Linked DNA regions of Caenorhabditis elegans. The protein of the gene in region 1 interacts with the protein of each later gene in a pairwise test. Each region holds a gene or a part of one and is shown on either strand. Other genes may lie near its edges.

Region 1 (6,621 bases):
ATACAACAGGTGCCTACTTCACGCGTTCTACTTCTACCTATCAATTTTTACAGCACCTGAAGTAGGCGTACCTCGCCTAAAAGGCAGGTATTTTGGGGCCTATGTGTAAGGTCATCTCATTGTGAACTCCTACTTTAAATTTCTAATTTTCGCAAGAAAAGTCTGCTTGCAAAAATGTCTCACTGGAAGAACATTTTATGAACTATTTTTATCAGTTATAAAATAATTTCATCAGAGAAAAATTCTGTTCGTGAATCCAAATCAAGAACAGATTAATCAAAACTCACCTCTCCATTTTTTAAATTTCTCTATAAATAGTAATCTCTCCTCTTTCTTTTATATCAAAACATAAATTGTATGTCTGAAAATCCCACGCATGAACTCTTTTTTCAGTTGATCCGATCAGTTCCAGCTGAACTTAGATTCTAGAATTCAATTAATGAACTGAAATTCTTTGATCAACTGGAAAATTAAAATAAGATCAGAAAGCATTGAGCAGTTTGTAAGAATTCATAGGGCAGTGGTAGACACCAAATAACTGCGAAAAAACAATTACGAATCGGTAATCCTTTCCGACAATTCAATTTGCTGCGTATTTCCTATTTTTCCATTACCCTCCTGATACCTATCGATTTCAGTCTTTTTTTGTGTTAAACCGCTTATTTTAATTTCCGTTGGCTTTGAAGCGTGACGGCTCAAATGATAAGCCATTTCAAAAGATGATCTCTTCTGCATCCCAAGCCTTCTGTAAATTGATCTCAACGATTGCTTCTAGATTGTTTCGAGATCAATCTTATTAAAATTCTCTACTTCCTCTCATTTTTGTAGTTCTTCCAGTTAGGTTAATAACGAAGCTTCTTTTCAAAAACACTAATTCAATAAAACTAAACCGAAAAGTTTAAACTGGCTGGAAACTTCCCAAACAAAATTTTTGAAATTTAAAAAATTTGGAAGCCTGTCAAAAAATGATTTTCTCTAATTAGATTAGCAGGTATGTGTACTAAAATAATTAGGATACTTTCAAGGTCTTGGCATTATTTTAGCGAAAAAGCTAAATTATCATAGAAACTGTTAGACTAATTTTTGATGGGTCTTCTGTAACATCTTAAACGTGTTTACTGTTTACACGTTGAACCGCTATTCGAAACGGAAAAGCTAATTTGACAACAATAGAGATTACTGACATATGTTATGACGCTAACTATTTCGTGCTAAGAAAGAATAAGGTATTATTCCAACCTTATAATTTCCTGCTTTTCCTGATTTTTCAGTATTACTTTGGTGCTGAAATATTCCATTTTACTGTTAATCCTCAACTCTTGTGACATAGCTATGTGACTCATTATTTCATAGTAACACATGGGATGGAAAAATTCACATTTTTTGCAAAATAATACCGCGCATGCATTTCTTCCAGGAATAAAGCTTAAATGATCACACTATTCTTTTTATTTGAGTGTAAATAATCTCATAATCTTGTCACACTTCTGTTTTTACAAATACTTTCTACTTGACCAAACAATTTCATTTTCAGACTTTTTGCTTAATATTGTACTTTACATGTGGATGGCTTTTTCGAAGATTTCGTCAGCAATGGTGAGTCGCTATAGCTACCAAAAGTCTCATGTGAATATATAGAATTTCCAAGAATGATAGTGAAAAACATATAATTCAGTAGTGAGCGAATTTTCTATTTAGTATTTGTATTGCCGTTTTTAAATTACAAATTTGAAGAGAAAGCTATTTTAATATTCATATCTGAGTGATATCTGTATCTGTTCCATTTTTGAACAATTAAAATTGAGATGCCAATAGAAGTGAATGATTTTTACGATCCAGCTTATCATCCGGTATGAATTTGTTTTGGATTTTTTAAAAATATTGCCCCGATTTTTTAATGTGCAAATTCCAACTTTTTATTTTTTGAAACGGCAATTTCTTTTAGCTTGATCAGCTTAAAGGTGCAGTCCCATAGTTAGAGGTTTTTTTCTGAAATTAGGAAATACCACAGAATAAAAAAAAAACTTGCTGGAAAGAATGAAAAAAAATTTCAATTGTGACTAATCTCTCTGCTTGAATTCCTTCCAAAATGAGAAGTGCAAGACTAATTGTTTCGATAAGTTGGATTTCATTCTTTTTCATTTTTGTATTTCGTTTGTGGATATTTCGATTGTAAGACTCTTTAGGGTATTTTAAAATCAACATCCCCATTCACACTACTTCAACTTTTGTGTAACAGAAAACAGCAAAGAATAACCAAATTCTCATAGAATTACAAAATCAGAATTTCTTTCCAATAAATTTCTTCATGTGATATCTTAATTTTCAGAAACCAATTTTCGATAGAATCGTGGAAGCAAAAGAGACCGCATCCAAGCATCCATCTCTATTCATTATCCATTTATGGATATATTCTCTAATTGGATTCACGGTAATTCAAATTCCAGTCTTTTCTCTGAAAATTCGGTCATTTTCAGGTGACCTTCATTTCATTAAGCTATTCACATTCAGCTTGTTATTCAATGATTTCATCTGCACATCTCTTCAATTTACACTTTGCATTCAATGGTTCAATCTTTCTGGGAGCTGTTTTTCATTCAAATTTATCTCGAAGACTCTCACTCAAATACGTGTATATCACCTGTCTAATTCTGATATCCGCGTGCTTTTTGGCTCTTCCACATGCTGCTCACATCATTTTACTTCTTTGTATTGTGTTTATTGTTTTTGGCACTGTTCTTGGAATTTCGTTGTCTGCTGTGATATCTAACTTTGTTGTTATATTCAAGCAGCAAAGCTTTCTACTCTTACAGGTAAATTTTTTTATTAAAGACTGTCTTGTAGAACTTAACCGCAAGATGTAAAAAAAGTTCAATTAAACAACCCAAGGTATGGGACAAACCAAGATATTAGGTTGAGCAAAAAGTCTTTGCAAAATTTTGATTTTTTTTTGGAAGTAGTATTTTTTCAAAGCGAACAAGATTCAATGGGTAATATATTTACCATTAATGCTTATGACTTCTTGCCAACACAATGGAAGTTGAACAGTGCCCTCCGCCTAGAACTCCTGCGATTATGAGGCAAAGAAGTCGTCCAACCCCGTTTCGACGACCTTTCGATCATGAAACTTCTGCCCGGCAAGGATATTTTGGAGAGAGCGGAACATATAGTAGTCAGTAGGAGACAAGTCCGTTGAATACGGTGGGTGAGACGAAAATTGGATTCTGAGGGTCTGCATGGACCACCTTTTCCAATTAAATGCAGTATAGGCCAGCGTTGATTGTAGCAAAGTTTGGAAGAAGCTCTTTGGAAATGACCCTTACTGTTCCACCGAATTGAGAGAAGCACTTTTTTCCTTGAAGTTCTCACTTGAGGCCAGGTTTCGCGGTTTCCTCGACCGGGACCCACTCTTTTTTCCTGGTATGGCTAACATATAATACCCATTTATCATCTCCAGTAATGATATCCTTAATCCAGTCCGTCGTTCGTTTCCTAGTGAGCAGCGAAAGAGAGAGGTCGCAAAGCAATTTTTCTGAGAATCGGACAATTTGTGAGGAACAAGTTGACCGAACTTTGACACCCTTCCGGTTCTATGGAGATGGTTGATGATGGTTTTTTTGGGGATGCTTGAGAGTCGCAGAAAGTTCGCGGTTCGTTGCTCTTGGACCATCTTCCAGGACTCTCGAATTATCCTCATCCATATCCGAACGAGAGCGATCTGATCTTGGTTTATCATCGAGATCGTAGTTCTTTTTCGTGAACTTTTCGAACCAAAACTTCATGGTATTGTAGGTGACAGAGTTATTGCCTAACACTGCACACATGTTACGACGAGCTTCGTTGCACTTGCGGCCTTGGAGGAACTCGTACAGAAAAACTCCTCGGAGAGCGTGGTGATCGGCGAGCAAATTCTCGGCCATTTTGAACAGCACCCAAAAGTTTTTTCAAATGCATTAAACATGCACATTACGTACTAAACAAATAAAAAAACAGAAACAGAAAAAAATGAATTAACGCTGAGAAATGAAGAAAAGTACAAACTTTGCAAAGACTTTTTGCTCAACCTAATATTATTCAATTTTTTACCGAGGACCAATCTCCATTTTCTTTTAGTTTTCTTGACACTTTGCATGCTACGCAACATTGTTTCTTCTGTTTAATCATTCAAAATTCAGTCAAAAATATCAGACAGTAAATTAGTCAAAAATTGAAATTTTTAAGTTTCTCCACCTCATAGGAGCATTCGGATCAGTGACCGCTGTCATGTTCTATCAATCGGCACCTTCTGAACATCAAGAGGATTGTAATTCAAAAAGAAATCCAGTTCTTCCAACAGGACCACACATTCCAAGTCTCGAAAAATTCTATTTAAATCCATCACTCCGTCAAGACTACATTTTCTATGCGACAGCAATCCTTCAAATTCCCCTGTTAATATTATGCCTTAAAACTGAGTTCAACGTTTCAATGAAAACATCAATTTCAATAAGAAGGACAGAATATGATGATATTGAAACAAATAATAACAATAATAACCATCATCATGAAAACTGCCAAAGTGAGTTTTTTTTAATTGAAGTTTGATTTCTGATAGTCTGACTTTAGAAAATCCAGAAACCATAGTTAAAATAAAAACAAATGTATTATGTTTCTAATCCCAAAATAAAAGCATCCAAGTCACACAACCTTTAAAGTTTCTACTTCCTTGTATTGATAAAAGGCCTATAAACAATAATTATTTTTCAGGTTTAACCCAACAAAGTGACGTAAGCAGTTTAAAATTGGTACTTCTATGTTCAGTTGTTGCATCAATTGCCAATATAATGTACACCATGTTTCCATTTCTTATACTTGCTCAACCATCAGCTTCCATATTTTATTATCAGCTATTTTTGGTATCAAAAAAGCAACAATTTCAGAAATATAAAGGATATTTTTTTCAGATTTTTTTCATGTGGGGTCGTGCAGTTTCATTGTTTTTCTCCGATTATATGGCTCCGTATTTTTTGGTTGGAGTTTCAATTGTAAGTTCTTTGAATGATAAAAAAATATATATATCTAATTCAGTTCGGATGTGGAATTGGATGCTGTTGTATAGCTTCCGAACAATTCCTTCTGGTTGGTTCACTTATTTTTGGATTCTTCCTGGCGCCACTTCTACCTGCACTTGTGATCTACATAAATCATAGCTTGTCGCTAAAATGTTAGTTATTCCTGGCTATCAATAAACTTCAAATTTAATTTTTTTCAGCAAACAACACATTCACTTTACTCTCTGGACATTGTTCAGGACACTTAATATTCCCCCTTCTACTCACTTTGACAAACTCCTCGAACTCAAGGCTTTTCATTGCGTTCAACTTTGTTGCTATTGTCATTTTGGTAATAATTTTGGTATCAATTTTGAGCCTTCATGCTCAAATTGAAAGGATGCAAGGTAAATTAATGCACAAATTCTTGAATCAATTGAATATAAAACTTAAGACTAATGTTTCGAAAAATCCAAAAAAAAATTATTTCAGCATCCCAAAGTGGCCTAAATCTCTTCGTTTCTCGCTTCTTATCAGGCGAATCTCTTCTCAAACGTACTCGATCAATCCGTCCTCTAATATCCCGTCTTCGTCCAAATTCATACAGAAGATTTGCAAATCGACGTGGTTTGAATACTCGCAGTCCATCTCCAGCAGTTCCTCACTCAACTGAGGTTTCTGTAAGTCCAGATGAATTGAGCCGGCTTAATGAGCCAAAGGAGATTCGATCGGGCTCGATGTTAATGCCAACGAGGGTGTAAATCTTACAGAATAATTTGTTTTATGCTTGTAAATATGTATTTGGAATATTTAATAAAATATTATTTTGTAACAAAATGCTTGAATGCAAGCCTCCCACTTGTCCATAATAATATCTGCTTGTATACAAGACTACCTACGCCTACCTCGTGCCGGCTTTCAAACTACACGTGAATCCTTTTTGATTTCTTATATTACCTTTCAATAGTTTAATTCAAAAGATCCAACGAGATGTAGTAAATTTCGGCGACGAGAATAAATTGGAAGTCACGTCACAATTTTAAATCAAGGTGACAGGCAGTCGAGAGGTAGGCACATAGGAATGCGCCTACCTTCGGGGGAAGCTCTTTTCAAACATTGAAAAACAAGGTTTTATTTCTACCAGAAAAGGGAATGGAGGAAGAATGACGGAAAACAAATAATTTCAAAGAATTAAATTTAAAAAAAACAAGAAAAAACTTTTTGAACACCCAGATTGTTTAGGCAGCTTTAGCTTGAATGTGCTCAGCCATATTTTTCAATTGTTGCAAATTCATTGCATATCCGTCAAAGTAGTCATCGACGAGGTAAGGAAGATTATTCTCTTTGCACCATTCTTTCACATATTTCATGCAAGCATTCAGATTGCAACGTGGCATTGTTGGGAACAAGTGGTGCTCGATCTGAAGAAGAAAACAAGAAATTAAAGCATTTGGAAATAAAAGTACCTGATAATTGAGTCCACCCCAAAGCCAATCAATGAATGGAGATGGAGTCATGTTGCGTGTGGTCAAAATTTGAAGAGCGGCGAAGTTGTTTAAAATTCGAGAATTGGCTGAAAACTCGTTCTTTG
Region 2 (3,997 bases), on another chromosome or scaffold:
TACGAACTCGGCTGGTCCGTTTCCTTCGCCGAAGTGTTTTCATCCAGCTCCTGGCTCGTATCCACTTCCATCAATTCTCCTGGTTCCATGGAATCACTGCAAAAATAGGACATGATGAAATATATATATATATATATATATGAATAAAAGCTTAGGAATTTATGAAATTTACACTTCGTTTGCAGCCATTTTCAGCTTTTAAGAAGACAGTAATGCAAAAATAAAACGAATTTTCAGAAAGTAAACGTGCCGCGCGTTTTGTCCACGTGGAGAACAACGTGGATACGCAAACACTCGAAGAACTCTGCGTACAATACACCATGTGCCCGCTTACAGTACTCCAGAAAATAAAATTTATTTTTCATTGCACACTTTTGTGCTCTGATTTCACTAATCATATGTAAATAAAACATTTATTTTACTTTTAATAATTTAAGAACATTTATATGATTCCAAGCCGAATGGACCATACGTTTCTCTGAACACTTCAGTTAATTGCGCTGTTTCTTGTAAGGACAAGAAATTTGATCATTTCTGTAATTCATGATTATTAAAATGATTCCTTCTGTCATGTGGTCGTTTTAATTTTGTGCAGTTCTGAATAATCTTGAATTGAAGAAAAAGGAAATAACTTTTTTTCAGGAATTGTAAAAGTCGTTGGAAGCAACAAAAAAAAATACGTACAATTGCTGTATATCACAGGAACGTTTAAGAAAATATAATATTAATTTAGTAGTAGGAATGAGGACGTGGATTTTAGAATTTTCATCGTAGTTTATATGCGTTGAACTATGTTGCCGGCTGCTGAACGTCCTCACGGTAGAATGTTGGCTGAAATTTGTATGTTTATTGAAAGATTAGGCAATATTCAGTATACCCGGCTCTCATTACTCGATCGTCCACTACCATTGACCTCGTCTTCACTATCCGAGGAGGAATCCTCATGGTGCAAGCGATTTCCCGTTTTTGGTTCACTTTCTTCTTGTCCTGGTGTGGCACTACTCAGACTGTCAAAGCACTGAAAAATCATGATATTTAGACGATAAAGTGTCAAACTTCACCGTACATGATCACAAACTCGGACAGGCTTCTTATGTACATTGTCAATACGGAATGTTCTCGATGAGCAGGCGCCACACACGACACGTCCACAATTTCTGCAGTGATGTCTTCTTTGAACCAGATTGAATTGAGTTTTCCCGCAGACCATACACTTCACTGCTTCACCATCGGGAACCCATACAGCTGCGTGAGCAGTCGCGGCTTGCTTATTTCCTGAAAGTAGAAAATTTTGATTGTATTTTTAATAGAAAAAAATAATTTATCTAAAAAACCGTTTTAATTTAGAGATATGGTGATTCCCAATTTTTTTGTAGAACGTATATTATTGGTCATTTAAATATGAGAATTTTTCACCTATCTTAGGCGCATGGGTCTCGCCAGGCGGACAACAAATTACTGTAACTTGTCGATCTATGGACCAATTTTGCATCACAATTTATAAATTAAATTGAACATTGCTGCCAACATTTTTTTAAATAAAAAGACCACAATGCGCCTAAGACTTATTTAAGCTTAATATTAATTAGACGAAAAATGTTGCGATTGTTGCATTAAAAATACGGTTTTCGGTCTCGAAACGACAAGATTTTTTGAAACGGAAAATGGTAAGCGCCTTTAAAGATTACGGTGGTTTCAAACTTTCTCTGCAATTTTTTGGTGGAAATTTTTTGAAAATAATTTTCGTGTATTACCTCTTTCAAGGAGATCTGTAACGCATCTCTCAATATGCAACATCCATTCTCGTTTTTCAGTTTCAGTTGCTGCATAAACTGCAAACGATTTTGCAGGTGTCTTAATAATCCATCCATGTTTCTCAATTCCATCGTCTTCCAGATCTTCTACTTGTACACCTTCCAATCTTAGAATTCTTTGCTTATTATATCGCTTTTTCGAAATCACAATGTTTCCATATACAAGAATATCATTGAACAAGAAGAATTGCCGTTGCTTCGGTTTCTTTCGGCACATTTTCACAAGAACACCTTCTCCGACAAGAACTCGTCCGAATACCGACAATTGTTCTCCCATTTTTCCAAAGCATTGTTCTACGTTAGCCATTCGACGGGAATTCACTTCACTATTCACTAAAATTTAATAAATTATTTTATAAAAGAAAATAAATAAAACTTACCAAGTCGATCAACCATTGTGTTTTGTGATTTAGAAACGATGGAAAGAATCCGCTGAAAACTTTGAATATTTCAAAAAATTCATAAATTTAGTTCGAGACGAAGAAGGTTGAAAATCATAACAAAAAATTATTTTGAGTGAGAACAGAATAAGAAGAGAGGGAAAAGGAATGTGATGAGTCATCATACACTTTATGTGCAAACAATCGGATGGACAAGCCAGTGGACCGCTGCCTGAACGAAAGAAAAAGAATGCAATGAATAAATTGTCACGAATGAATGATAAGAACAACTGGTGGCCTGGAAAAAAGGTTTCAATTAATTTTATTACTTTTTTGAATAAGATTTCGGATCTTAAATATAGTTATGCATGGTATGGGAGCAGATTTTGTAGGTTTTCCTTCTAATTAACAATAACAATCTCAATATATTTACCGAAAATAACTGTAACAAAATTACAAAATTTGAACATTGTTTTAAATGATTTTTTTCAATTTTGGAAAAAAAATGATTAAAAAGGCTAAACTTTTTCTGAATTCCCGCGCAAGTGATCTACACAATTTCGATATTTTTTGCTTTTTCCGGCTATATTAATTGGGGTTTCTTTTTATTTTATTTTGTTAATCTAAAGAACTTCTCTGAAACTCTAAATCTGGCCTCAAATCAATAATGTAAACTTGTTTTGCGGGAAAAAATGTATGAAAGTTTTACAAAATTATGTTTCGAATCAATAATTTAATAAAAACCTTAATAATATAACCTGAAAACGTCGAAACTTTAGGAATTCGTTTGCGCGGGAATTCAAAAAATAATTCAGCTCGTTTTTAAATAATTTTTAAAAAAATTTGCAATCATAAAAAATTCCATCACTTTCTAAAAAATAAATTCGGCAAAAAATCCCTCAAAACCTATACCATCTTTTTAATATTCACAGGTTTCTCGAAATAATCTGATTAAACATAAGCCAATTAGACCAATTTAGTTTAAATTGAGAAAACCGATATTTGCTGTGTGTCACCAATCCATCGGAAAGCGGCAAGAGTGAAAGAAACGCAGAGATAAAGATATAATTGATGACCAAAATAGAAGATTGTGGACATTCGGAACCATTTACAACAAGAGAGAGGTTGGAAAATCAAGAAAAAAGGTTTTATCATGGTAGTTTTGCGTAAAAATATGGAACAACAACAACAATTTTAAGCAACAACAATAATTCAACAAAAGGATTTTTCAAAAAGCCAATTCATTTAGCATGTCTTCTATTTCTTTTCCTGTTCTGATTATTTTTGTTCTTAGCAGTTCCAGAGTTATTCGACGACGAAATTTCATTCGTTGAAACCAAAATAACTTCTTCTTCAGGCTCCGGAACGAAGTTATTTTCGCGGATTTCTTTCAATTTGTCCATGAGATTTCTGAAGTTTCCCTTGCATCCAGTAAGTTCTTCTCTTGCTTCAAATGGTTGAATTCCGACGGCAAACGCTTCAAGTGGAGCAACAGGAGTAAGAAGAGAGCTACCAAACACTGGAGTTCCGATTAATTCAAACATCGATTCTCCTAGTTTTACATCTTTTCGAATCGGAGTCAAAAGGTGTTTTTCTTCTGTTGAAGCAGAGCCGTCGAGTATTATAATGGAATCTTCCTGGAAAAGTAACTGATATTGAATTTTTATTTTAATTTAATTTACTTCTCCCGGAGTATTGAACTTGTCAATTTTGATTTCATCACTTGTGATTACTATAACATCATCATCATCTTCATTAGCGAACTTTTTATGTTTCGGAGTTGATTTGGCTCTTCGTTTCTCC

The links.
Region 2: the proteins of dct-15 (region 1) and ZK632.12 interact in a two-hybrid assay, tested with the Caenorhabditis elegans proteins (one large-scale study listed by BioGRID).

Annotation. Positions count from the first base shown.
Region 1 is NC_003282.8:9,805,647-9,812,267, reverse strand, and holds dct-15 (RGS domain-containing protein), read left to right. Parts: upstream 1-1,805; coding exon 1,806-1,850; intron 1,851-2,329; coding exon 2,330-2,431; intron 2,432-2,477; coding exon 2,478-2,813; intron 2,814-4,221; coding exon 4,222-4,558; intron 4,559-4,746; coding exon 4,747-4,895; intron 4,896-4,943; coding exon 4,944-5,024; intron 5,025-5,067; coding exon 5,068-5,203; intron 5,204-5,251; coding exon 5,252-5,437; intron 5,438-5,522; coding exon 5,523-5,791; 3' UTR 5,792-5,862; downstream 5,863-6,621. Other genes in the region: Delta(6)-fatty-acid desaturase fat-3, read right to left, coding at 6,269-6,451, 6,497-6,603.
Region 2 is NC_003281.10:9,829,051-9,833,047, reverse strand, and holds ZK632.12 (uncharacterized protein), read right to left. Parts: upstream 2,247-3,997; 5' UTR 2,211-2,246; coding exon 2,195-2,210; intron 2,148-2,194; coding exon 1,755-2,147; intron 1,276-1,754; coding exon 1,067-1,275; intron 1,019-1,066; coding exon 878-1,018; intron 832-877; coding exon 790-831; 3' UTR 625-789; downstream 1-624. Other genes in the region: ZK632.11 (uncharacterized protein), read right to left, coding at 3,436-3,831, 3,877-3,997.